Linked DNA regions of Nothobranchius furzeri. The main gene of each other region encodes a partner of the protein of the gene in region 4 in a complex. Links are inferred from orthologs where the notes say so. Each region holds a gene or a part of one and is shown on either strand. Other genes may lie near its edges. The genes, in order: sart1, lsm5, lsm7, txnl4a, prpf4, ppih and lsm3.

What was found.
Region 1: txnl4a (region 4) and sart1 share a complex: the UniProt entries of both Homo sapiens proteins name them as parts of the U4/U6-U5 tri-snRNP complex. The link is inferred for Nothobranchius furzeri from reciprocal best matches to the Homo sapiens genes TXNL4A and SART1.
Region 2: txnl4a (region 4) and lsm5 share a complex: the UniProt entries of both Homo sapiens proteins name them as parts of the precatalytic spliceosome. The link is inferred for Nothobranchius furzeri from reciprocal best matches to the Homo sapiens genes TXNL4A and LSM5.
Region 3: txnl4a (region 4) and lsm7 share a complex: the UniProt entries of both Homo sapiens proteins name them as parts of the precatalytic spliceosome. The link is inferred for Nothobranchius furzeri from reciprocal best matches to the Homo sapiens genes TXNL4A and LSM7.
Region 5: txnl4a (region 4) and prpf4 share a complex: the UniProt entries of both Homo sapiens proteins name them as parts of the precatalytic spliceosome. The link is inferred for Nothobranchius furzeri from reciprocal best matches to the Homo sapiens genes TXNL4A and PRPF4.
Region 6: txnl4a (region 4) and ppih share a complex: the UniProt entries of both Homo sapiens proteins name them as parts of the U4/U6-U5 tri-snRNP complex. The link is inferred for Nothobranchius furzeri from reciprocal best matches to the Homo sapiens genes TXNL4A and PPIH.
Region 7: txnl4a (region 4) and lsm3 share a complex: the UniProt entries of both Homo sapiens proteins name them as parts of the precatalytic spliceosome. The link is inferred for Nothobranchius furzeri from reciprocal best matches to the Homo sapiens genes TXNL4A and LSM3.

What each region holds. Positions count from the first base shown.
Region 1 is NC_091744.1:19,554,452-19,558,702, forward strand, and holds the start of sart1 (U4/U6.U5 tri-snRNP-associated protein 1), read left to right. Parts: upstream 1-1,451; 5' UTR 1,452-1,780; coding exon 1,781-4,093; 3' UTR 4,094-4,251. UniProt on the Homo sapiens protein: Plays a role in mRNA splicing as a component of the U4/U6-U5 tri-snRNP, one of the building blocks of the spliceosome. May also bind to DNA.
Region 2 is NC_091747.1:62,679,674-62,683,199, reverse strand, and holds lsm5 (U6 snRNA-associated Sm-like protein LSm5), read right to left. Parts: upstream 2,285-3,526; 5' UTR 2,207-2,284; coding exon 2,161-2,206; intron 1,110-2,160; coding exon 1,014-1,109; intron 927-1,013; coding exon 899-926; intron 828-898; coding exon 755-827; intron 678-754; coding exon 645-677; 3' UTR 501-644; downstream 1-500. Other genes in the region: late secretory pathway protein AVL9 homolog, read left to right, coding at 2,849-2,935. UniProt on the Homo sapiens protein: Plays a role in pre-mRNA splicing as component of the U4/U6-U5 tri-snRNP complex that is involved in spliceosome assembly, and as component of the precatalytic spliceosome (spliceosome B complex).
Region 3 is NC_091748.1:58,320,411-58,324,429, forward strand, and holds lsm7 (U6 snRNA-associated Sm-like protein LSm7), read right to left. Parts: upstream 2,759-4,019; 5' UTR 2,655-2,758; coding exon 2,649-2,654; intron 2,409-2,648; coding exon 2,318-2,408; intron 2,219-2,317; coding exon 2,147-2,218; intron 918-2,146; coding exon 775-917; 3' UTR 501-774; downstream 1-500. UniProt on the Homo sapiens protein: Plays a role in pre-mRNA splicing as component of the U4/U6-U5 tri-snRNP complex that is involved in spliceosome assembly, and as component of the precatalytic spliceosome (spliceosome B complex).
Region 4 is NC_091751.1:22,094,757-22,097,982, reverse strand, and holds txnl4a (thioredoxin-like protein 4A), read right to left. Parts: upstream 1,786-3,226; 5' UTR 1,641-1,785; intron 1,459-1,640; 5' UTR 1,431-1,458; coding exon 1,278-1,430; intron 1,152-1,277; coding exon 1,048-1,151; intron 962-1,047; coding exon 790-961; 3' UTR 501-789; downstream 1-500. UniProt on the Homo sapiens protein: Plays a role in pre-mRNA splicing as component of the U5 snRNP and U4/U6-U5 tri-snRNP complexes that are involved in spliceosome assembly, and as component of the precatalytic spliceosome (spliceosome B complex).
Region 5 is NC_091746.1:69,563,499-69,567,798, reverse strand, and holds the start of prpf4 (U4/U6 small nuclear ribonucleoprotein Prp4), read left to right. Parts: upstream 1-1,500; 5' UTR 1,501-1,638; intron 1,639-4,300. UniProt on the Homo sapiens protein: Plays a role in pre-mRNA splicing as component of the U4/U6-U5 tri-snRNP complex that is involved in spliceosome assembly, and as component of the precatalytic spliceosome (spliceosome B complex).
Region 6 is NC_091755.1:32,545,059-32,549,144, forward strand, and holds the start of ppih (peptidyl-prolyl cis-trans isomerase H), read right to left. Parts: upstream 2,801-4,086; 5' UTR 2,684-2,800; coding exon 2,618-2,683; intron 1-2,617. Other genes in the region: zgc:154075 (putative oxidoreductase YteT), read left to right, coding at 3,930-3,943. UniProt on the Homo sapiens protein: PPIase that catalyzes the cis-trans isomerization of proline imidic peptide bonds in oligopeptides and may therefore assist protein folding. Participates in pre-mRNA splicing.
Region 7 is NC_091743.1:73,197,565-73,201,636, forward strand, and holds the start of lsm3 (U6 snRNA-associated Sm-like protein LSm3), read right to left. Parts: upstream 2,801-4,072; 5' UTR 2,735-2,800; coding exon 2,714-2,734; intron 1,513-2,713; coding exon 1,402-1,512; intron 956-1,401; coding exon 860-955; intron 512-859; coding exon 431-511; 3' UTR 1-430. UniProt on the Homo sapiens protein: Plays a role in pre-mRNA splicing as component of the U4/U6-U5 tri-snRNP complex that is involved in spliceosome assembly, and as component of the precatalytic spliceosome (spliceosome B complex).

The DNA.
Region 1 (4,251 bases), on a different chromosome or scaffold from region 4:
CTTTGCTAACTGCCTGGACCCAAATGGCTAACAGAAGCAGCACGATGCTGTTACAAGCAAGCCGATTTGTCATTTATTACTTGGGCTCAATCCATCGTGGGGGGTTTCGTGCTAAAAGACATTTCAGCCATCCAGGTAACAATTTCTTCTATTCTTTCTTATCCTGGCATGATCTGACGATTCTTACTGAGGGAAACACGCAATTCACGTATCTATTATCCTAGGTGACATATTCAAAGGTTTTTTTAATACACAAAATAAAGAATAGTGGTAAACTCGTGTATAGATCTATTGAGAAACTCGCAACAAATGCAATTACAAATATTTTGAAAGATAATTAAAATATCTATTAAGAACTTGATGAAATAGCATTTGATTCAAACTTTATTTATTGAAATACAGCAAGGCAACAGCACTACCACTGTGCCAACATGCAGCCAAAGCATAACAGATTCAAGTAAAATTTAAAATGTAGTATGTATAAAAATGAGTGAAATTAACATGTGAACTGATATGATATCCATAATGTTACACCTACTCCTACCCTAGGATCCACCCATCCCTTCCTCTATTCCACTGCATCTCTTTGTGCACTTCCATCTATGTTGCACTCTGATTCATTTCTACACTATTTTCGCATACTCCTCTGTCGGAGCCTAGTGTTCTTTCCTCTAATCAGTTTATCGTTAGAATCAGATGCAAGTACTGTTACATCCTTGTTTATAGATCGTTTTGGACAAAAGCATCTGCCAAATACATTAGCACAATGCCCTTTTTGATATCTGGAGCTCAATACAGATAAATGCAAAAGCTGAAGTAGAAAAATGTAATTTGAAAAAATCCTTAATGCTGTTGTTGGTAGACAGAAACCATTGCTAGACATCTGACTTTTTCTCTTTGTCTGAGAAGAATTAATTTTGATGTATATCTGAAAGTGATAAACATCCCAGCCATTAAATGTTCAAATGACCGTTTGGAATCAAAAGCATTTTTAAATACTCTAAACCTGGGGGTTTCCAATTGAAATATCAATTACAGTATTAAAATGTGTTTTTACTGATCAGAATGCACTTCTAGATATTATTTCAGTTACGATAAGTAAGAAATACATTTTGATAATGGGAATTATTATAACTTTATCTAAAATTTTAAGTGAATGGAAATGTTTTGCTTCATTAAATGCTATCACGGCTTGCTAAATACAGCAGGTTGCAGGCTGCAACCTTTGCTAAGCTAACAAGCTAAAGTAAAGGAACTGCGCCAAAATAGAGGAGATAGTAAATCGCTGTGTTGCACTTCGTGTACTTTTTGTAAAGTATCAAACAATTTTCCTAAAACATTTAAAAGCGTTTGTTTGTCAGTTAATGTCCGGTTGTTAAAGCCCCAGCCAGCAGGGGGCGATATACAACCAGGGCGAGCAAAGTTTTTTCTACCACTTGACTTCCGGAAACGAATTCGTTGTCGTTGTATGTTCGTTTCGTCGAAGTAGCAAACTTAAAACGTGGTTGTTAGTATTTATGCTGGTGCGAGGTGCTACAAATAAACAAACCAACGAAACTCCACGTATTTTCCACCGATGCTGGATATCGAAAATATGATGCAGTTTTCCCCGAAATGAGTGAGTTTTGACGTGGCTAACCCTTTAGCTTTTGAAGCTAACTCGACCTAGTTGGGAGAAAAGTTCGCGACATTTACCACATCAATACAGCTGAAGAGACTGCGTACGCAGCTTGACTGTGACGGAACTACGACTCTGGAGTTGTAAACAGCGGACGAAATCATGGGTTCTTCAAAGAAACACAAGGAAAAGAGTCGCGATAAGGACGCAGAAGAGCGCCGTCGTGAACATAAGAAGCATCGGCACAAAGAACGAGAGAGAGACAGAGATGCCTCAGATCGGGATGGAACTCGAGAAAAACGAAAACGCTCCAGGTCCAGGGAAAGGAGCAGACGGGATAGTCGCAGCAAAGGGGAAAAAAGCAGTGGCGAGACTCGTATAAAGAGGGAGAAATTGGATCCTGGCTATGAGGAAGGCAGTGCAGAAATACAGCCTCAGAGTGCAAGTGGAGATGCTTCCCTCAGCGTCGAGGAAACGAACAAACTCCGAGCCAAGCTGGGTTTAAAGCCTCTGGAACTCAATGAGAACAAGAAAGAACTTGGAACCAAAGAGGAGCCACTGGTGGCTGAGACCATCAACCCTGTTCTCATCCAGCAGCAGAAAGAGATGAGGGAGAAGCTTGCAGCTATGAAAGAAAAACGTCTCCTCAATCAGAAACTGGGCAAAGTCAAAAACCTTGCAGATGATGATTGGCTCGATGACACAGCCGCTTGGATTGAAAGAAGCAGAAAGCTGGCACAAGAGAAAGAAATGGCAGAGAAAAGAGCCAAACTTCTGGAAGAGATGGATGAGGAGTTTGGTGTCAGCAATCTGGTTGAAGAGGAGTTTGCTCAAAGTAAATTGGATTCTTATTCTTCACGGGATCTCAAAGGCCTCAAAGTGCAGCACAAGGTTGATTCCTTCAAGGAGGGCCACACTGTCATTCTGACCCTGCAAGACAAAGGTGTCCTGGAAGAAGAGGAGGATGTGCTTGTGAACGTGGGACTGGTGGACAAGGAAAAAGCAGAAAAGAATGTGGAGTTGAAAAAGAAAAAGCCTGACTACAAGCCCTACGAAGAAGAGGAGAGTGTGGATGACATGGTCACCTTTAAGCCCCGCACTGTACTTTCAAAATACGATGAAGAAATTGAAGGTGAAAAGAAAAAGAGCTTTCGTTTGAGCACATGGGGATTTGCTGATGGGGAGCGAGAACGGGAGCTGCAGGCTATGAAAGAAACGCTGCAAAACCAGGCCCAGTCTTTGGAAATGCCTGCTCTTGCTATCGCTTCGGAGTATTACACGCCTCAGGAAATGGTTGGCTTTAAAAAGACAAAACGCCGTGTGAAGAAAATCAGGAAGAAGGAGAAGCAGACAATTGCAGATGAGCTCCTTGATGACACTCGCAGCTCTGACTTTGGCTCCCGAGCACGAGGTCGGGGCCGCAAACAGGACAACGAAGAGGAGAATACAGGCAAGGGCGAGCGTTGGCCACATGAAATCCCCCAAATGTCTGATGACATCAGGACGGCAGAAATGGAAATGAGTGATGAAGAAAACTTCACGCCTCCTGAGCCAGCTGTAATTGAGGAGGATGAGGCAGAGCAGGAGCTGCAGAAACAACTGGAGAAACAGAGGAAGCTGAGGCAGAAGCAGCTTCTCAAAGACTCCGGGGAGAAGGTGGCAGAGCAGATCAGACGGTTTGTTAAAGGCGGTGACGAAAATGATCCTGACAAGAGGAATAACATTGTCTTCAATGCCACCTCTGAGTTCTGCAGAACTCTGGGTGATATTCCAACGTATGGACTGTCTGGAAACAGGGAAGACCAGGAGGATATCATGGACTTTGAACAGGAAGAAGAGAAAGATGATGCTGGAGATTCAGACTCCGAAATGGATGAAAATATTGGGTGGAGCACAGTTAACCTGGATGAGGAGCAAAATCATGCTGAATTTTCCACAGCCTCTGCCACTATCCTGGATGAGGAACCCATCGTGAACTCTGGCCTTGCTGCTGCTTTACTGCTGTGCAAAAATAAAGGGCTGCTGGACACGCAAATGCAAAAGGTGGCTCGTGTCAAAGCAACAAAGGGGTCCCTGCCTAATGACAACTACTGCATCGAGGACAAGATGGGCTTTGATGATAAGTACAGTCGCCGGGAAGAATACAGAGGCTTCACGCAGGATTTCAAGGAAAAGGATGGATATAAACCCGACGTCAAAATTGAGTATGTGGATGAGTCTGGGCGCAGACTCACCCCAAAAGAGGCATTCAGGCAGCTTTCGCATCGTTTCCACGGCAAAGGTTCTGGAAAGATGAAAACTGAAAGGAGGATGAAAAAGCTGGAGGAGGAAGCGCTGCTGAAGAAGATGAGCAGCAGCGATACACCTCTGGGGACGGTGGCTTTGCTTCAAGAGAAACAGAAATCTCAGAAAACGCCGTACATCGTCCTCAGTGGCAGTGGGAAGAGCATGAATGCAAACACCATCACTAAATAAATATGTAGGGGAAAATGATTATTGTTGTAGCTCTTTTGAGATTATTGCTAGTTTATGGTCTTGCTTCAGTGTTGATATAACAATAGTATAAGAAAATCAGTACAGGTGTAAACTATTTCATTTGTCTTGTGAATTTCCTAAAAGAACAATAATTTAAA
Region 2 (3,526 bases), on a different chromosome or scaffold from region 4:
TTTGTCGCTTCTATTTTTCTTCCGTATTTCCTCTTGTTCCGCCATCTCTCACAGCAAGATGAGCGTCAGTAACGTGATACGTCATGAAAACCGAGGGCACCCATTGGCTCATTTCTTCTTCTACGGCTCCACTGGTAGATCAGTGGCTCATTACTGCCACACACTGGCGGCAAATTTAACAGCTTGTAACCGATGTCTGATTGTGGTAAAAAATAGACTTTATGCGGTAAAATATGATTATTAAACAACTAATCGATGACTAAAAAAGTTGTTAACTATTTTAATAATCGATTATAATCGATTAAGTCGATTAGTTGTTTCAGCTCTAGATCGGTTCCACGTTTTTTGTTCATGAGTCAAAAGTGAAACTTCTCATTTAGCTTTACAGTCCAACAAAGACTGGATGCTGGATTTTATCACTGGTTTCTGATGGTAACACTTCATTTTGTCCCAATGTTTGCACTAAATTTACTTTTTATGATAAATAAATGAAACAAGGATGTTTTTCAAACAGATTTATTTGCAACAAAGACATCTTAATTCCCACGTGAGACCTGCTTCTTTTACTAAAAACTGAACAAAGAATGTTACAAAAATATGCTCCAAAAACCTGGAGAGAATAAACAAAAGACACAAAACAGGATTTACACTTCTGGTCCTTCTCCTCCAGGAATGAGCTGCAGGAGAAATGAACCCGACATGAATCATCCAGCTGAGTGATGTTTGAGAGAGACCGAAGCCGTTTGTGTCCTACCATGGTGATGTTGTTTCCATTGAGGAGGATCTGATCCAGTTTGGTTATTCTCCGTCCTTCTGGTGTGATCTCGCTGGAAGAAACACCAGGAGATGAGCAGGATGAATGAGGCAGACACCGGTTAATAAAACAACGTACACTTACAATTCTGTCACATCCTCCAGCACCATGTCTGAAACACACAGTTGAGGACCAAATCTGAACATGTCACCTCTGAATCACGCACTACAGCTGATCAGCAGCTTTTAAGGAAGGATACTGACAAAGTCATCGAACCCCAGCAGGGTGCCGACGATTTCTTTGTCGGTTTTCATGACGATGTGAATTCGAGAGCCGATACATTTGTCCACAAGCTCTGAAAATATAACAGGTTAGGTTATTTTCTACAGTTTTCAGTTTGATTTTAACAATTTTCTAAATAACTAATGTGATGTTTAGCATCTAAAACCAATCAGGACCAACTACTAAAAATCATTTTTTCTTAAGGGAAATACTGTTGAGGTTTGTACTGCACATACACTAATTGGCCAGTAGGTGGCAGAAGAATATGACTAAATCTAACTGAATATATGTCGATGGACGAAATGAATTTTCTTGTCAGTTGTCAACGAAAGTTGTTCACGGGTGTGACTACTTTGAATTTAAATAACACAATAAGTTCAGGAGTATTATTATGACTGCTGCAGCTCAGCTTTTGCTCATGTTCAGACACGGACAGGTGTACAATCAGCACGCCATCCTCATTAAGGCACCCGAGCTGGTTTGACTTTTTCAGGTCATAACTGCTGTAAAATAGGACACAATCACTTCTTTTAGTTTTTAGACTGCCACAAATACTCCTCTGTTAAAATAAATTAGGTAAAAACTCACGCTTGAACACGAAATTATTGCTTTATCTGCAGCTAGCTAAAACCTGCTGGTGTTGCATCGAGATGTGTCCCCCATCTAAACCAGAATCTCCGGGGGTTTTCTTTAAAACTTTTTCTTTAAGCTATAATATGTTTTAAATGGTAAAATGTTCCTTATTTGACTTTTATTAGTAAATTAATGCAAGCAATAAAGATGGCTGAACTAAGCATAACCCCCACGAGTTCCTAAATTTATCAAATACATGCAACTGCTTACTTCACAAATTACACATACTGACAATTAAATCCGTACACCACAGATAATATATTTTAGCAGGAGGAACACAATCCTGTGACTAGAAATCTTGTCAGGAAGCGGGGACACGGTTTACTTCGGTGAAAAGATCTGTACGTAACACCGGCGTGATTTTACCGCTAAAACGGCTCACTTCTGTTTGCTACTCACTAAATTAGAACTGCTTGTTCGGTTCTTATTGAAATGTATCTAAAGGCGAAACTATCTGAAGCAAGAACGGAACAAAATTAGATTTTACGAACCCAGAGGGAGCAATTGTGACGGGTTTGTCGCTTGAGTAGCCGCCATGACTTTCTTCGTGTGACTGCAGCAGTCACAACCAATCGAATCAAGAGCAAATCGAATTCAGGCAAGAATAGACAAACTCTGATTTACTTTGGAATGCTATAGATAAAAAAATATACTTAAATTCCCCCACAAAAAATAATAAATAAAACATCCAAAACAACAATCACTTTAGAGGCAAAAATATTTGAGTATAAGACTTAAGTATGGATTTTGCAGCATGGAGAGTTTATTTGTTTACTTCCTGTTTCTGGTTAAGTTATGCTTGACTGATTTTAGGATTTGATCAAAATCAGATATTCGCAAGAAAATATGTCAGTAGATTCATTGGAAACAGGTTGTTATAAATTGTGTAAATGCGACTTGAACCAGTTTTTCATTTAAAAGCTAATGCTAACAGCTAATCCGTGCTCTGACCCCGATGGATCTGACAGAATCGGTAACGCAAACACGGAAGTGAGGAACAGGGAAACATCTTGTTGAAATCTAGCTGCAGCGCTGTGTGTGTGTGTGTGCGCGCGCGCGTGAGTGTGTGTGCGTGGGAAAGATTCGGGGCTCAAACTAGGCTCCGTTCGCTGTGTTTACATCCGAACCCCCTGAGTTCACAAACGCCACCGGACCTCCAGAACAGAAGACTGAGGGAAAATGGAGTCTCACGGCAGCGAAACTGAAGGGAAGGGGCCGGTGCTACACATCGTGGTTGTTGGATTTCACCATAAAAAAGGCTGTCAGGTACGAACCTGCTTCATGCTAACTGTGGCTAGCTCTGGTATAAAGGTGCATTCCTACTAAAACATTAGAATGGAGGGTTATGGTCCAGCTCACTGCAGGTGAGATGGATTTGATGCAGATGGAAATATTAATTTTAACCGTCTTTGATTTCTAGCTGTTTGTGCGGAGTTATATAACATCTCTTCTGGCTGCCACCTCAGATAATTTTCCAGTTGTTTCCAGCAGCTGCTCACCTGATCCCACATCCGGTTGGATCTCCATACTAATTGATTATCTAATGTTCAGTAACGGTGATGGGCAGAATAGGAAGAAACAACAATAATCAAAGATGCTACAAGCTTTAAAAACTGCATCAGAAATATCTCAGTTCCTCTCAAAAATGTGAAATTCGTTATTTTCCTTTCAGTAACTTGCATTTTGGTATTTTCTAACTGACTCTGAAGCAAAACTTCCTTTTATTTGGTGGCATGATTAAACCCAAGTCCTAAAGTAGTGCATATTTTCAGAACAAATATTTTATTCATACAAACATAAAAAAGAGGCTTTCTTGTGACATCACAGCAGCCACACCTCCCTTTAGCTCAGCCTGCA
Region 3 (4,019 bases), on a different chromosome or scaffold from region 4:
CACTATTCTAACCTACTTTTAGGAGGTTTCACATCCAGTTAAGTAAAAATTTTGCCATTTTAAAAAACAGCTTCAGTTATCTCACTTAAAACTCATCAGCATTTTGTTTCTGCGTTTCTCCAACGCCAAAATCTACTGAAGATCCTTTCTTTCAAAAGGAACAATCCATAGATATCATTACTTTACACCCCCACCCCAGCTTAATGCATTACTGACTTAAAAGCTGTTAATGCCACATATGTGTCTTTGTGAGTGTGCAGACAAGCTTGAACGGTTTATCTTCAAACACAGAAACTCCCTTTAAACCTAAACACACTCATCTTTTTTTTTACTGCAGAGTTCAGTAGTCTGTAGACCCATCGAGTCAGTCACAACCAGCAGGTAGGGGACGTCTGTCGGGTCAACAAAACCACTCAGATCCTTGTCACCCTTTCGAATAGACCATATCTGGTGTAACTTTCCAACACGTCCTCTGTGTTCAAAGGAGAAAAACATTCAGATTCAGCTTTTTTTCCACTTTATTTTCTTATCAAAAACAAAGAATAGTAAAAAGTTCACTCAGATAACAAGAAATTTGTTTTAACACTTTCAGAACTGGGAGCTCCTCACAACACAAAAATGAGCAAAATTAGCAGGGAAATAAAACTGAAGTGCAACGGAGCCTTATTTTACCAGTGATGAACTTAAAACATGTTTGTCGTCTGAATGACAAGTGTCCTGTAATGTTAAAAAAGAAAAGTCTAATCAAAAGTGTGCCACGCAGCAGCATGGGGGTTATCCATCTTGCTGCTGGATGAATGGGTTAGGAATGGCCTCCATGCCATCCTGAGGACAGATCAGCACCACAGAGGTTCCTCTGCAGACCACCAGCCCCAGCTGTCGGGTGTCTTCTGTCAGCTTCAGCTGGTCGTCTGGATCTGCACACAAAGCCACAGAACGTTCACACTGGAAATGTCAAGCAGCTGGGTGTCCACCAAGCATTTTACCGGAATGCACTCAAAACTAAAACATGAATGGTGAGACCTTTGATTTTTTTGTTTTGACCATCTTCAGTTCAGATGTATTTTTCAAAGATGTTAAGTCCACACAAGACGACCACTTGTAACAGCGATAAAAAACCAACAACATTTGATTTGTTATCACTGTTAAAAATCTGCTTCGACCACTAAAGAACAAACCTCAAACTGAAAAAAGCCACTCATCTTTTGTTTGGGGATTTTTAAATCAATTTAATTTCCCCCCACATGTTTCTGGTTTTTGTTCCACCCGAGTGGCCTCCATGACTCCTCTGAATATTAGCTCAACCCTCCCCTCCAAACACTAAACTGAGAATTAGAAACTTGAGCATTTTTCCAGTGTTTGTTCAAACTAGCATCACATTTTCAACAAATCCACAGTGATGGTAGAGGAGATAGGTGGAGTAACCTTACAGGGTAAGAGCACAAAAAACACAACCAGCTACTTACCTTTACCTGGAAACAACACACTGTTCCAGTAGAGAGGTGTCTACACAATGTTTTCTGTTTGTTTGTACAAAAAGAAAACAATTCCACAGATGCTTTTACACACAGACTTTCTTAATTTTATGAAACTGAAAAATTAATCTTACATACAAGGGCGTGATTTGAAAATTTGGAAACCTTTTTTCAATTTGAAGCCCAGAAAATCTCTCGGATTATTTGATGTTTTAGAATGAATTATTTAGAGCCTGTGAATTTTCTTCTTTTAAACATAGCAGCAACATGTTTTTGTCTACATGTAATTATATGTAATGTTCGTCCACTGAAGATAATCTAAAATTATGTTGCTTTTATTGTCAAACAAGATTAGCACGCACGCACGCACACACACACGTATTCCTGATAATTTACTGAAAAACAAATTAACTCAAAAAAGTGAAGTAGAAAAATGTCTCTTAAACATGCTCTGAACATGAACATAATGTTTTGATCAACATGCTTATTTTCACTAACTGTAGATCGTTTTAAAGATGACGGTAGGGGCGAAATTAATGCGAATTATTACTTTATAGTTATGTGTGTTGGGGAACTTCGGAATGTGTTCAGGAAAAGTCCTTCATCGATATAAACATGGACTCAGACTGAGGAGCAGTTTTCTGGCTGGATTTGAGTTTTGGTTTTCTTACCACGCATGTATTCGATCGTGCCGTCCAGCACCAGGTTCAACAGAGGATCAAATCCTTTCAAAACGCCGCTTGCTGAGAAGAAAACACAAATTTTAGGCTTCCACATAAGGAAATCTAGACATTTACTGCTTGCACGAAATGAAAGGGTTAGCAACAGCTTGGTCCACCCACCCTCTCGTCCACCTTGAAACTTCACCCGAATCGTCTTGTCGATATACTTGGACAAGTCGAAGATGCTCTCCTTCTTTTTCTTTTCTTTATCCTGCAGAAAGGCCAGGTTACATTGTCTTAAGTCACTAATTAATCACAAACAAAACGTAGCCTTAGCTTAGCTCACTACTAGCCACGTTATTTAAGTAAAACGTCTACCGTCACAGCAAAATAAAAGTTGTTCAAGTCGACTTTTGTTCAGAAAACAAAGCTAAATCTTAACAATACAAATGTGGATGTGAAAAGATAAAAAGTAACACAATATAATGAAAGCCATGGATTACGAACTCACCGCCATATTTACTGTCTGACCCGGAAGTAAATCTTAGACCCTAGGAAATGATAGTGATCCAATGAGATAACGCGTTCAGAGGGTTCAGAGAGGTCCAGCTGTAGACCATAAAAAGTAAAATGAAACAATATTGATTTTTGTAAAAGTCTCGGGACTACCATCTCTACTAAAACGTAATGAGTTAAATACACACTCATGTGATTGTCTTAATACGCTGTCAGGCTGGGAAAAACGTTCATCTTTCTCAGCTGCATTGTGCGTTAGCTAATAGCTACAGGCTACAATCTCAGAAGAAATCTACGCCCTCCAGTGGGGATAAACTGCAACTACAATCAGGTTCTAAGAAGCTAGAAGGGAACGTTCTAGTCTCATGGCAATGAAACTGGGGGGGGGGGGGGGGGGGGATCATAATCTGTATTTTTGTTTCTTTTGGTTGATGGAGATGGAGAAGAGAAAACTGCCTGTAAATTCTTTCTAAATAAAACGCTATAACACTTTTGTTATCAGCGAGTGGGAAACTCGCTCTAACAGCCTTTTTCGTTTATTATTTAGCTAAATTCACAATCAAAACAGTATGTAACAGTGTTAAAAACTATGCTAATACTGAGTTCACAACTAAAGACAGTTGGGGTTGCCGATCAGCTTGTATGTTTTTGGTCTGCTGGAGGAGCATGTACCCAGAGCAAACCCACACATGCATGGAGAGAATGAAAGGCCGTAGCCAAGGTTTAAACCTATGACATTGTTCCTGTGAGTCACCAGTGCTTCCAACTGCCCCACAATGAAACCCTTTTTAAAATAAAATGTATACAGATGAAACTCAAAAAATTTGAACATGGTTCAAAAGTTTATTGATTTCAGTATAAAAACCTAAAAGGTGAAACAAATTCATGAGATAAACTCATTCTATGCAAAACCAGATATTTCCATCATTTATTTGTTATAAGTGTGATGATTATGGCTTACAGCTTACGAAAACATCTAAAACTAAATATCTCAGACAAACAGAACGTGCGAGAAGGTTCAATACTCTAGACTCAAAGTGTCGCACTCTAACCAGCTAATTAATCAAAAACATCTGCAAAGGGTTCCCGAGCCTTTAGATGGTCTCTCAGTCTAAGATGGATTATTGAAATAAGTGAACTTTTGCACCATATTCTAATTTTTTGAGTTTCAGTATTGTTATTGGGAAAAAAATCAATAACCAATAAAGGCTCTCAGCATGGAGCTTGCTCCAGTCATTGACATGAACAAGCCAGCACACTGAATTAGCTTGGTCATGACCCACACATGACTACTATTAATAAACCCTGACTGTGTACCAGTTGGTGGGTTGCAAACCACAAGTAGGTCAAGATATTTTGGTGAGGC
Region 4 (3,226 bases):
AGATTCCAGGTATGTCATTAAAATGGTATGATTTCCAACATTATGCACAGATTCGTTTTATTTAAAATACTTAACATTTTAAAAAGCCTGTCTACTATCTTATTTTGCATAACCATAATTAAATAAGATCATATATTCATTATATTTATAAACTTATAGCCATATTTTTTAGCCAGTCATTAAAAGCCTTCTAGAATTAAGAGTATTAACAACAGAAAAGCAGGATTTTAAGTTTTACACTCATAAATCTATCAGTCTTATACTTAATGATGTGGTGGAACAGCTTGTACTCATGATAAACATGTTTATTTTATAGGCCTTAGAAGTACTAGATAGACTGGCTCTGTCCAGGGTGAACCCCGCCTGGTTGCCCAGTGACAGCTGGAGATAGGCACCAGCCCCCCGCGACCCTACATGGACAAGCAGGTTCAGAATATATATATATATATATATATATATATATATATATATAAAATAAATTAAAACACTACATTTAAATCTTAAGTAAAAGTTTTTTATTAAAACAGTTACAAGTTGTACAATATTACCGATGTGTTCCACACTGACATATTTCACAGAAATAAGCCTTAAAAAACACAAAACTTAATATTTATGAAGCTACGTTTGCAAAAACAAAAAGTGACATTAAACCCACCATTATCAACAATGTCCTGTTTTACTACCAAAGGTAAACACGCTGAAGAATATTCCTGAACCTTTTGTGTTTTTTGTCTCTTCATTTTGTCAAATGAAAAAATAATAAACTGAACAAAGGAGGATGAAAAAAAATCAGTATCTGTATTTTGTAGAGTAATCCTTGGGAGACACCACCAAACCTCTTCCTTTCCTTGCTCCTCGATACACAGTTTCAACAATATCTATCATCTCCTGTTTGTCCTCGATTATCCAGTTGATCTTGTTATTGTTACCGGTGCCCAAATCAATCATGATGTGTTTGTTCCTGGAAGAGAAAGACAAAAATATCACCTTAAAATATGTTTACTCAGCTGCCCTGTCTATTGCAACATGTGGAACTGGAAGAGCTACCTGAAAAAGAACATGACAGTGCAGGGGTCGTACAACTCGTACATCTTATTGAAATCAGGCACTTCTGTGATGTCCACGAGGTAAATGACAGCAAAGTTCTTCACCTGTAAATAAACAAACCAAGAATGAATTAAACATGGCATTTGGAGCACGCCAGCAGGTAATGTGACGCGACTCCTGAATCTGAGCCAACCGGACTTTATATAATAAAGACAGGAAACAAATCAAACCTTTTCAGCGATGCTGTAAAGAACCTCGTCCATCTTCATACATGTTGGGTCCCAGTCGTGTCCGAAGCGGATGACGAGGACTCGGTCCTCCTCAGACAGGATGGCTTGGTCGACCTGCCATCCATTGTGGAGATGCGGTAACATGTACGACATCTTGACTCAAAAATGAGCAAATTCTAACCTGAAATGGATCAAATAAAGAGTTCAAATCGATCACAGCTGAACATTAAATTAAACAAACATCTCTGAGTACCAGAGAACGGTTTGACCGGCAACAGCTAGCTAGCTAGTTAGCGTTAACCATGGATACAATCTGAAAGACACAATTATGAAACTTCCCACTAAATATTCTGAAACACTTACCCCAAAATATAAAATAGAGTATTTAAGTGGCGGGAAGAAAACGGACTAACTATAGATAAAGCAGCTATGTTCAATGTGACTTCTTTTAAACCCCACGGAAAACAAACGCTTCACGACGTCATCAAATCAGCGACGCAGGAGACGCGTTAAATTTACGTCATAGTCGCTCAATTCGAAAAACTCTTTTAAAAAGTCCCAATTTATTTATTTATTATTTTTTAATGTGAAAGCCGCACACAAAAAATAAAAATTTTAAATAATTAATTATTTGAAATAATTACTTTTCACTCCAGCAAGTACTTTTAAAATAAATATATTTACGTTATGTTTTCCAGCAATATCTTTTTGGATGATCATCTTTTTGGATGATCAACTAGAGAAATACTTCTAGTATTAAATGTATTTCGTATTCATGCATGGAGAACAAACAGATTTTCAAACAGCTCAATAACAAACAGAAATTATGTTTACAGTCTAGATAACATAATTAGAAATTTGCAACATGAATACATTTTTTAGGAAATCTCGGAGCACTCTTTATTTGTAAAGCTTGTTTGCCACACTTCAATTAAAACGTGCACGTGTTGTTTGTGTACTTTACAAAAAAAACTGTTAATATTTGATGCTGTGAAGTATTTCTGATTCTTAACAAGTTCACAAATTTAGAACAATGTGTATATTTGGCACACTTGCTGTAAAATGGATACAGCTTGAAAAATGATTAGTTTGGAGTTTTACTCTGCGTTCAAACTCAAATTCTTCCACAAAAAGAGATTCCAAAGAAAAATTTGTAAAAACCCAACCCTAACTCATCATGCAATGTCAAATACTACGTGTCGTACTTGATTTTTTGCAGGCTTCCTAACACACTTTGTAAATAATAAAATGTAAACCCTTTTCAAGCACTTTAAGATGGAGTTTTTAAATATTTTCCAGCACGTTACACCGGTGTTGCACAGAGACCGTTTATACTTGTTCACAACAATCACGTCACTTTGCTGTCTCATTAAAGGAAACGTCTGCACCATAAAGTCAGTTTCAGTTGTTTTCAAGGACTTATTTAAATGCTGAAGCACTTTTAAAACTTGAAAATACCATTACGAATAAACAAATAAATCATCAATCTTTCAGTCTTACTTAGATTTAGAGACGTTATTTTATTTAAAGTGTGGGTGTACAATTCTAATAGTGGAAAAACACGAAGAAAAAACACTTATTGTGCAATTTACTGCAGTACAATCAAAGAAGAAAAAGATAGTATAAAGGTTAAAGAAAAAACGTTCCAGTCTGACGACATAGCAGCACATTGTGGCACTCCCTAGAGAGAGAGAGTCTAAATGATCATTAGATATGTCTAAAAGTTATATTTTTTTCATTTCATGACTAATTAACCGCATCACTGTGGTAATGAATGACCCAGTGAATGATGAGTTCACCTTTCTCCTGTTAGAAGATTTGGTTTAAGACATGATTGATTAACAAACAGTCATGGTAGCTGACGTGGGATAAAGTTCTAATCTATTCTCCGACTACCATCACCACAGCAATCATCCCTTAAAGCTGACAAAAGGCTTGGTTTATTCGGT
Region 5 (4,300 bases), on a different chromosome or scaffold from region 4:
CAGTCAAACAGATGTGTGAAGTGAATAATCATCGTAAAAATACTTTCTAAAAACTCAAGTTCACTGTAAAGTAAAAGCAAACGAAACAGTCGAACAAGCATTAAATGAGTGGTGCATTCAAAAGCACGATAAAACGTCAAACATAGTTACAGGGAAGAGAAAAGCTTCAACAGGTGGAGGGTTCAGCTGGTAATGACTTCCACGGAGAGGGGTTAGGGGGCAGACGTCCCACGGTGACAGGACGGGCAGGGGGACTGTGCCGGTTGATGGCAACTGGGGAGTGTGTAGAAACCTTTATGAGATGGGAGAGGTACGAGGGGCAAGGTTGTGAGTGGCCTTATATGTGATGAGCAAGATTTTGTAGTCAGCCCTGAATTTTATCAGCAGCTCAGAACTACATGATGGACAGCAGCAGCTCAGGAGTAGAGCGGGTTGTCCACTAACCCGAAGGTGGCAATTTCGATCCCAGCTTCAGACAGAGAATGCTGCCGTGGTGTCCTTGGGCAAGACCTTTACCTGCTGGTGGTGGTCGGAGGGACCGGTGGCACCAGTGCTTGACAGCCTTGGCCGTCAGTGTGCCCCAGGGCAGCTGTAGCTACATCGTAGCTCATCTCCACCAGCGTGTGAATGGATGAATGATGCACTGTAGTGTAAGGCGCTTTGGAGTCCTCAGGCTCTGAAAGGTGCTACACAAGCGTGGGTCGTTTATCATTCATTTACATGTTTCACTGATCACGCTTCTCACTGCTCAGGTCACTAACAAGCCCTCCAGATGCTTTATCATCTCACTGCAAAGAAAGCATCCAGTAATTCGTCCTAATGTTGGTTCTGCCACTGCTGACAAACCTCCACCTTCACCAGCAGGTGGCACCACCGTGCATTGTGTAGGACCTACTGATAATTCAAGTTAGAAAAATTCACCCAACATCAGAAAACCAGTTTTTCTTAACCTAAAAGGTTTACCAAGCCGGGCACAAGAGTATCGATCAGCTGTGACGATTTGGCGCCACTAGGTTTAGGGTCCTACTGTGGAGGAGATTAAAAATTCACCTAATTAAAGACACATTTATCAAAAAATGTTAGGAGAGCAGGGCAAGTTGATTTATGTGGCAGACCTACAAGAGTTAGCCTGTAGGGGGGGAAAACCGCGTCTAACCCCGCAAGGAAGCCCCGCATGGATGGGGAAAACACGCAACTCTATGAGTTTCGAACCTGCAACCTTCCGGTTAAGGGGGGGCTCTGGGCTCCTGTGCCACCGTCACCCCATCAACGTAAAAGCGTCGCAAGCAGAGGTTTTAAATAACGCAGGTGTTGCGGGTTGACTCCACACAGCGTTATGTTCCAGAACATCCGAAGTTGTTGAGGCGGAAAAGTCGAATCTGTGAACATCATGTCAACTTTACTTCCGTCCACCCGAACCCGTTTGTGTGACGAACCCAGGTGACTTTACCTGACGCACCGAGACTCTCCTTCGTCCTGATCGTCAGCTGTTTGGTTATCTGGCTAACAGGTAGATTGGTTAATTACCCATAAGTCCACGGATCCACCAACCGGAAAAAGAAGCTTTGACCCGGAAGCCAACAGTTTCATATCCGGGTTGCAGTGCTAGGAGACGTTGCGGCTTCGTCTGTTTTTACGGTAAGTTTGAACAACAAAACAAACGAAGCTTTAAAACAGAGAAACACGCTTATGGTCCAAACAGCAGGTGCGCGTGCTCGGCTAGACACGCGTGTCCGTGAGCCGTTAGCTCCGAGTCACGTGCGAACATCAGAACGCTTCTATGGTTTCGTCGTGCGGTCCGTGTGTGTTCTGCACAGCTACGGTTACAGCACCAGTTCACTACTGGTGTGGGTTGCAGCACCAGTTCACTACTGGTGTGGGTTGCAGCACCAGTTCACTACTAACTCACTCATAACATCTATGATAGCTTCCAGGCAGTCAGGTTTTCGTAGAGCTCGTTCTACTGAAACCAGGGCCGTGCAGAGACCTTTGACGGGGCGGGGCTCAAAGTAAAAAAAAAAAAAAAAAAAGGGGGCACTTTTAGATCAATCCAACAAGTTAAAAAAATCTGATAATGAGACCCTTGGGTTCAAACAACATAATAAAAATTTATCAATTAGTGTTAATGTTAGTTAATAAATAATGAACTAACCCTAACCCACCATTGCGTGGGCGATGGTGGCACAGGAGTTAAGATCTCGCCCCGTAATCGGAAGGTTGCAGGTTCGAGCCCCGCTCAGTCTGTCGCTGTCGTTGTGTCCTTGGGCAAGACACTTAACCCACGTTGCCTGCTGGTGGTGGTCGGAGGGACCGGTGGCGCCTGTGCTCAGCAGCCTCGCCTCCGTCAGTGCGCCCCAGGGCAGCTGTGGCTACATCGTAGCTCATCCCCACCAGTGTGTGAATGTGTGTGTGAATGGGTGAATGACTGATTGTGTTGTAAAGCGCCTTGGGGGGTTGCAGGACTCAGAAGGCGCTATATCAAATACAGGCCATTTACCATTAATAGTTTGTCACTGGAGAAACAAGTTATTCAGTTCTTTGGAAGTAAGGGCATTTCTATTGACAGCACCACTATAGCTGCATGCTACACAATTCCTAAAAAAACTGGAAAAAAAAAACAAAACAATAATTCAGTTTGTGAGCAGGAAACATAAAGTTGACTTGTTAAAGGTCGTAAAGAAGCTTAAGGGCACAGGAGTGTATGTAAATGAGCACCTGACAAAGAAGAATGCAGAGATTGCCTGGCAAGCAAGAATTCTGAAGAAGGAGAGGAAAATACAGGATACCTGGATAAGGAACTGTAAAGTAATGATCAAGCTTACTGGACCACCAGAACAGGCTATGGTGGTGAGCATCAAGAGCCTCTCTGAACTGGAAAAACTCAAATGATGAGAAGAAGATGGTATTTAATTCATGGACACAGCAGACTACAAGAAATCAGGAAATAATAGATTTTTTTTTAGGTTTGTCAGTGATGTAGATCATAAAATCTAAAAAAAATATCAAATCTGATAGATAATGGAGTTGACTCAGAAATTAATGGTTGCAGCAACACCCACCTGGACTGTGAATATTATATTGTAGAGGACTTCAAAGTGAGTATGTGTGGATTTTCATTAATACACTTTAACAGCAGAAGTCTCTACAACAATTTATCTAAGATCTCAGATTACCTAAATGAGTTCAAGGAGAAACTTACAGTAGTTGCAATTTCAGATACCTGGATCAAAGATGGAAAAGAGTTATTGAATAAACTGGATGGCTATGAAATGTTTACTCAGAGCAGACAAAACAAAGAGGGGGTGGGGTAGCACTTTTTGTTAGGACTGGTTTTGATTGTACGAAACTAACAAATATGACCTTCATTGTTGAGAATTTGATGGAGTGTCTGACAATTGAAATTAAGTGTAAAAAATCCAGAAACATCATTATAAGTTGTATGTATCGTAGTCCTGGTTCTTCTATAGATCAGTTTAATGAACGTATTGAAACATTATTTGGGCAATGTAGGAACAAAATTGCTTTAATTTGTGGTGATTATAATACTGATATGTTTAAATCAGATGATAATACTAAAATAGCTGAATTTATCAATTTAATGTTTAGTTTAGGTTTCCTTCCGTTGATACTGAGACCAAGCAGGATAACAGCCGTAGTATTACACCGATTGATAATATATTCATAAATCAATCTGACGTCAAGACAAAGAATGGCCTTTTTTAACTGATATTACTGATCATTTACTGGTGTTTACTGTGGTGGAAATGATGAGAAGTGATGAAACATCTCTGGAAAATGTAAATTATACCACAACTAGAAAAAAAACTTCTGTTGCAATTGAAGCTCTGAAATATGAACTGTTTTGCTCTGATTGGACTGATGTTTATGTTGATGATGTTAATAATTCTTATACAGGTGCTGGCCAGTAAATTAGAATATCATCAAAAGGTTGAAAATATTTCAGTAATTCCATTCAAAACGTGAAACTTGTACATTATATTCATGCAATGCACACAGACCAATGTATTTCCGATGTTTATTACGTTTAATTTTGATATTTATAGGTGACAACCAATGAAAACATCAAATCTGGTATCTCAGAAAATTAGAATATTCTAAAGGCCAATGAAAAAATGTTTGTTTCTCTAATGTTGGCCAACTGAAAAGAATGAACATGAAAAGAATGTGCATGTATAGCACTCAATACTTAGTCGGGGCTCCTTTTGCCTCAATAACTGCAGTAATGCGGCGTGGCATGGACTCGATCAGTCTGTGGCACTGCTCAGGTGTTATGAGAGCC
Region 6 (4,086 bases), on a different chromosome or scaffold from region 4:
TTCAGGTTTTGTGTGGAAAAATACATATAGGACTACAAACGTTCGTCCCACTAAATTGATATAATTGACCCAGACAGAGAAGAGGGGGAGATCAGTTTAGCAAAGAATCCTTCTTCCAGGACCAAAGAAGGAGCATTAAACGAAACGTGAAAACCACCATAAATCTGGCTATCTGATAAGTAGCAGCTACGCTGGGGAGAAAAGATTTTGTCGGGACGTCATATATGCGACTTCTGATTTGTAGTCATTTTATTTACGAATTTTTACAAGCAAACAAAGCTGAAATTACATGACATAATTGTGATTCAGGGCGTAAGGCAAAGCGGGTTATTTTTTCTTTGCTCCAGGGACCCATGAGCTGACTGGAAGGGGAGGAGACTTGGGTTCTTATTATCAAGTTTTACATCCTGCTGTTCCAGCGGGTCGCACTGGCTCATGAGCTCCTGTGGTTTCACAGACTTTGTTTAGATCATCCACTCAACGTCATTAGTTTCGCAGCAAAAGAATTATTCAAACTACGTCCACACGAATGAACTGTTCGGTCCTTTATTGTCAACGACGTAATTAACAGTGTCCATCTCTTTTTTTCCATTTGGGGCTCTCATTTTTCTACTTTTACCTGAAGCAGGAGGCTACAGATACACAAACATGAGCGGTTAGCAGCACATCCGCCTGGCTGCTACTGAGCTGTGGGTCTCTACTCTTCATACCGAAGTTCTATCTTCCCACTCTCACATGTCCATCGAGGAAAAGTTGTTTTGAAATATTTATTGCCATCGTTTCATTGCCCAGCCCTACCTTCAGTCCTTCTGGACAAATCCTTATAGCAGAAATCCACTATGATTAACAATGAATAATGAGAAGTGTTCTAACAGATTGAAGGTGAAACATCTACATATGTTTGAGATTCTGCTGCAAGTTAAATTTTGTTTGGCCAAGTAGGGTGGAGTCACCTGGTCTGAACGAGGCTGAAGGTAAGGCTGCTACAGAACATATAACAAATTGTTTCTAATTATGGCTTTCTGCTCTGGGTTCAGATCAGTTACAGCCATTTGTGTAAGTTTCCCAGTGACAAGCAGCTACATGTTGTAGCTTTAGAAGTGAAACATCCTCTTCAAATTAAACTAAATCAGATGCCGTTTCCTGATTAGGTTTGTACTGAAGAGCATTTGATGACTTCAGCTGCAGTGAAGCAAAGAGAGGGGAAATGTCCACATGAAGTCATTGTAATAAAAAACTTTACCGATTCCATAATCATATCCTGCAACACGACTTCAACAGAGTTAAAGCTACATTTCAAACCCAATCATATTCAGAACCATTTTTTCCCTGTATGTTTACAGGGGAGCTGGTGTCCATCTCCAGCAGTCACCGAGCGAAAGGCAGGGGTTCTCACTCCATGCAGAAATACACAACCAGTCTCACACAGAAGCAAGTTATGGGCCATTCCCATCTGTACCGGGTCGGCCCGGGCCGGGTAGGGTAGGTTGTTTACATATCTGGGTGGCCTGGTATTTTTCCGGGCCAACCAAGGCTCATTCTCAGCCCTCTTCTCGAGGGGGTTTGCTTCAGGCCGACCAGGGCCAACACACCCACTGCTGACAGCAAATTCACACCTTCCATTAGAGCAAGCCTCTGATTGGTGGGTAGAATCAGCCCACATGGGCTTAAGGCAAGGATGTGTGGAATCAACCGGGCCAGGCTGGGGCCGACCGGGGCTACCCGGCCCGGGCCGACCTGGTACAAATGGGAATGGCCCACTAGAGCCCCCAATGAACCGAACATGCATGGTTTTGGTCCATCAAAGGAAACAGGAGTGCCCAGGAAAAGCCGACGCAGAAATAGCGAGAACATGCTCTACACATAAAGGCCACAGCTGGAATTCAAACCAGCAGCCTTCTTTCTGAAAGTCAACAGGACAACCTACTGCATCGCCGCCCTAATGCTACGTTTAACAGAGAAAAAATAGTGAAAACATGTCTTTGCCCTGAAATTCTGCAAAATTTTGCACACATTTTTAACGGTTTTGTGATTTTTCATTATTGAAAATAACTCACATTAGTTTGAAATTATTAATACGATTATTTCAAACTTTGCTTTATAATCAGTGGTCAGGGGTACTTTGTAAGTATATGAGAAGTATCCATTTGCATGCAGTGTCTGCTATGTTGAATGAACATGTTCAGCATCGACACAGATCTGCTGTTTTGTTAATGTCCTGGTGCATGCTTTAAAAAGCAGGTGAGCCAACCAAGTTCTTACTGGTGGCACTTGCACACGCAGAGCCACTTTCTCAAACCTATAAAATCTTCTTGGTGTTGATTGTCGAATGTTGAAATGGAAGATAAAAAGAACCTCAATCTCGTTTTTATTCAAGTTAAACGTTTTCTCTGCGCCTTTCAAAGCACATAAATATCCACTACTTAAACAAAACGTTAAACGTAGCACTGATTTACTATTATAAGAAACAAATAAACTAAACATAATACCTAAAATTCTGCTTACTCTCCCATAAACTTAATCAAAAGGCGACTTTGCGTTGAGATGAGTAACTGAGCGCGGTGACGTTGACAGCACGTTTTCGGTAAAATAAAAAGAACTTTTGGGTTCCACTGACCTGCCCTCCGATGGTAATGTCAAAGAACACGATGGGGTTGTTTGGGTTTGTCGCTTGAACAGACATCGATATGTTTTGACCGCTTTTGCACAGATTTCAAATTACAAATCGGCAAAAAAAATTACATACTAGCCATTTGAAAATAGAGAGCATGCGCAGAAGAAACTTATGGTGGCTCGCGAGAGACAAGGTACGAATTGCAACTAGGGACAAAAACCTAGACATGCATTGTATATATTTCTTCTTTAGACCCTGGCTAATGTTGGTGTAAATCTTTTGTTTCCCATAGCTATGTTATTACTAGGATTTCACATAACTTAAATCCAACCTTTTCCTGATGTTTAGCAGTTCAAAAATGCAAATTTAAAATGTTTCAAATTTTATTTAAAGGTCAGCTGGAAATAAATAACTAAATATTAAAATACAGTCTCAGTGAATAGTAAAAACAGAATTAAGTTGAGCAAAATAAAATGCAATGTACGTCTTGACTCCACTGTCCTCTTTAGAAGAAGAGAGCACAGGAGAACCCAGGAGAACACGAATGAACACTCTAGAATGATTTTACCAGAGCGCCACCTTGTGCTGCATATTTTTTCACTAAATAAAAATAGTCAAATATTGAAAACACGACTTGGGAAATTCGCAAGAAATAGAAATAGGTCAATTTTGGATGTGTTGGACAAGTAAAAAAACCCAGTATTTTCCAACATAAAAACACTTGAAATATCTTATTATACACTGAAAGATGAGTAATGTATAGTTCCTAGTGGCTAAATTATGCTCAGAAAATTATAATTTTCTCCAACTCATTATAATAGAGATTTACTAATATAAATGCTTCAAACATGTTTTGTATGATGTATGGCAAAACTTCAAGTTCAGTATTTGAATCTAGATCTATAAATGTATAAATTACTTATCTTTACTTCATAGACTTGAAAACTATTTATTTTTGCAGGGCAGGGTATGCCATCAGAGTAATATTTTAAATAGATTTTCAAAATAACATCTCCGACTTGTTCTTTTGATTAATTATTTCATATTTCTTTTCATGGTTCGTTTTCAAAATGTCAAAAAATGTTAACAGGTTAATATAAAGATTTGTGTGCGCGCGCGTGCTCGTGTATTTTTTATTTATTTTTCAAAACAAATCCATGACTAGATGGCAAAAAGTCGTAATTTACGAGGTACAATGAATGTGGCACAGAACCTTGTGTACCGTCTGTAGGAGGAGTCGTGTGTGCTTCACTATCCGAAAAAGCCACACAAAAGTAGACCAACACGGAGGAAAGACAGCTGTTCTAATACTCGTATGGGACAAAGCAGGTAACAGTACAACTGGTGTTATAAAATGAATTATGTTATTTACCCGAATTGCCGAAACATCTGTTAGGATTTACCCTTTTCCGTGTTTATTTCGCCAAGACTCTGGTCTGCTCCTTTTTGTTTTCCCGGTACACATAATTCAT
Region 7 (4,072 bases), on a different chromosome or scaffold from region 4:
CGTCATGTAAAAGAAAAAGAATGTTCTGGGACTCAAATGCAATCATTTAGCTAAAAATCAACATAAAAGTTGAGCAATTTAACAAACATTTCGCTCACAAGGGGACCCGAGTCTTTATAAACACTGGAATGACTCAATCGGAACTGATAAGATTCAGAAAAATGTTTTTCTACTAAAAATAATAGTATCTACTGAGGCCGATTCTTACAATCCCAGAATGTGTCAAAAAATAAAAAAAAGTGTCCTCACATCATACTTCCTGGGTTTTTCCCCCCTCAGACATTTTGCCCTAGAGAAGAGCCTCTGATTCACATGAAATTTAAAGATGAAATAACAGTCTAGCATAAGGAAAATGAAGATTTATAACACTCTCCTACAAAAATGGACACTTCCCAGAAGCAGTTACATCATCCTGTCAGGCATGGGGGGCTTAGCCGACTCGGAGAGGCGGAGCTACGAGGACAACGCCGTCTCCTCTGACAAACAACATGGGGATGTTCCTCTTGGTAGACTAAAGAAACAAATACAGTAAAAACATTTAAATAACAGATATTTTATTTAAATACTCACTAAAGTACCGTCAAATTTAAATAAAACTTGAGTTTCTGATCATGAACAATAATGAAACCTCGTAGAATCTTAAAATTCTGTTTTATTACTTTCTGCAGATCTATTCAGCGTTATGTTAAAGTGACAAGTTAACATCGTTTAACGTTTCTGCATCTGATGGATCTTTAAGCATCACCCAACAGTGGCACAAGTTTGCCACTAAGCAAACACAGCAAAGAGTCCAAAACAAAAGCTGTTCAGTAGAAATGTGGCTAGAGAGGTTTTTCTATGTTTGTTCATAAAAACTGACCTTATAAAGTTCTTCATACGTCTCCTCATCAATCTCCACTGTTGTCACCGTCTCCTCCACATCCCCCAGGATCATATTTAAGTGTTGGTCATACGCCTGGACCAGATGGCAAACATTAGTTAGGACATACAGGTGAAACTGGACAAAAGAGAATATGGTGCAAAAGTCCATTTATGACAGTAATCAAGCTCAGATGGAGAGACCATCTACAGGCTCAGGAACCCTCTGCAGGTGTTCTGGATTCATCAGCTGATAAAAGTCTGACACTAGAATATTTACCTGAACACAATATTCTAATTGTCTGAGATTATGAATGTGGGGTTTTCATCAGCTGAATGCCATAATCATCACAAATAAAGGCTGAAATATCTGGGTTTGCGTGGAATGAGTCTGTCTCATAGATTAGTTTCACCTTTTAAGTTGTTTTACTGACATTAGAATTTTCAGTCTTATTTTTTTTACCTGTTTTATCAGCAAGTATTGTGAAAAAACTGGATCTTCTGAACCGTGTGTGTGTGTGTGTGTGTGTGTGTGTGTCGTACATGTAGTCGACCGCGGAGCTCCCGGTCATTCCTCATCTTCACGTAGATCCGCTCATCCAGACTGAGCCTGATCAAATCGAGAGGCTCCTCCACCGTGTTGGTAGGTGGTTGCTGTGGAACACATTAAAATAATCATCAATGTACGGATTCCATTTTTTATTGGCATATTCATCAAATAGCAAACATTTAAAAACAAAACTAGTCGGTTTTTTTACACTCACCGGAAATGTTTTTAAAAATCTAGATTAAAAATATCCAATAGGGATGGACAATATATCGGCATCAATATCGGTATCGGCCGATGTTAGTCATTTTTAAACATATCGGTATTGGTCCCATAAATAAAACCGGGCCGATATTAATTTTTCTATCTCGTCTCCATTTGTTTATCAGTTTCAGAGGGTGAGGGGGGTGATGTGTATTTGTTTAATCATGTGACAGTGATTGTAATCACCTCAGAAGCGTAAATGTGTGTGTTGTGTGTACACAATAATGTAAATCCAGCTTTAATAATTTTCATTCTATATAAAATCTGCAGATTTTGGAAGCATTAATGTCAGTGTATATCGGTATCGGCAAATATCGGTTATCGGCCATAACAGTGATCTTAATATCGGATATCAGTATCGGTCCAAAAATTTATATCGATGCATCACTAATATCCAAACATTGTTTAGCTGAGTCTTTATATTGTTATTTATTCATTTTTGTTGTGTCTGTACAGCTTTGTTAAGGCTTGCCTTTAAAGACCAGGGCTTAGAAAACAAACCATCTGATAGGAAATGTAAAGAGAGTGTGCAGAAGTACTGATCAAACCAATTAAACGTCTCATGACTTATTAACACTATGGTATCTTTGTCACTAATATCTTTATTTTCAATTAAATTGCACATTACAGCTTAGAAATATTCATTTTAAATCATAAACTTTGATCCAAACAGTTTGTTGAGACTCGTTACTTACTAAAGTTAATAACTAAACACAATAGTTAAAGAAAACTCAATATTAATTATTTGTCCAATTTGCTAGACAAACATAACGGGAAAAGTCATTCATTAATCTTTCATTTGTGAGAATCTGGTAACTTTTACGCGCTTACTGATAATTTTAGGATGAGCTGAACGCTAGGTGAATGTGGGCTAACCGGTTTCACAGGCCTAAACACAATTAAACCGTGTTAGCAATTAGCAAAATGCTACGCTTGTATCCTTAGATTAAAGAAATGCATAAAGTTAATAATGCGCGACGAAGTCAAGCAACTGCACAGACGCTAAAACGAACAAAAGTGTATAAACACGGCAACCAAACGAACCTGCTCCACTTCATCCGCCATGATGCTTTAACTGGCCTAGTGCCTCAATGGGCTCTGAGGTCGCAGTCATATATACGTAGACGCCCCGTGGACGGCTGCCGTAGTGGCCGACCGCCATCTTAGTTGGGTCTCCATTCGCCCCCACTGCATTAATTTCTACTTAGGAAGGTGCTTAGCCAACTAAAAAACGCATTTTATCAAGCTTTTTCACAAAAGCTGATACAATATATGGCATGATAATTAAAATATAAATATAATTTAACAAAATAAATTAAAATATATTTAAATATAGAATTCCATGAGGTAGGCTTGTAAAGTTACTAGTAATCCCGCTTGATCTGTTTTCAAATTGTACGCCGGTTGTTGTAACTGTAGGCTGCACATAAACGGGCATAGACCTACAGGTCTCCCATTAGATGTTTAGAGTATCTTGATCTTGATGCTGTGAGGGTCGCTAGAACGGGCTATTTTGCTGACATCATTGATACAAACTGTAACAATTCAAAAATTCTCCATAAAACGCTTAACTCTGTCTCAGTGTACCAGGACTCTGGCATCATTTTTTCTACTGCTGCTGGAGAATGTGATGACTTTCACAACTTTTTCACTAGCAAAGTCTCTGCCATTAGAGCTGCTATTTTTGGTTCATCTACAGACCCTGATCCAGTTACTCCAATACAGTCCACCCTGAGCTATTTTAATACTCTCTTATTCTGAGTTGTCTAAGCTTGTCTCAGGGCAGAAGTCGTCTAGCTCTCCACTCGATGTTTTGCCACCTCGTCTGTGGAAGGAGGCCTTTCCGTGTTTGGGTCAGTCTCTGCGTCTGATCATTAACGGCAGCCTGAGCACTGGAGTGGTTCCAACTGCATTAAAAGCTGCAGTCAGTAAACCGATCCTGAAGAAACCAGAATCTGATGTCTCTGTGCAGACAATTACAGGCCAATCTCTATTCTCCTTTTCAATTTGAAACTTCTGGAGAAGGTTGTGTGTCAGCAGCTTTGCTGAGAGACTGGGTAGGCATATCAGGATCTGCTCTGAAGTGGTTCTCCTCTTATCTGTCTGAGGGTTAGGGTTAGGGTTAGGTGCTTCTCTGTGGCCGTCTCCAAGTTTGGGTCCTCCACCACCTCCCTCGCCCATGGTGTCCCACAAGGTTCTGTGCTGGGCGCTCTACTCTTCCTCCTCTATCTGCTCCCTCTTCAGCACATCCTGAGCTCCTTCAAAGAAATCTCCAACCATCTTATGCAGATGACATCCAACTGTACATCTCCTTTAAGCCCCATGAGATGTCGAAGTTGCAAGAACTTGGCAGTGCATTTCAGAATCACTTGTTTTTCTCCACTGATTTATTGCTTTTAACCA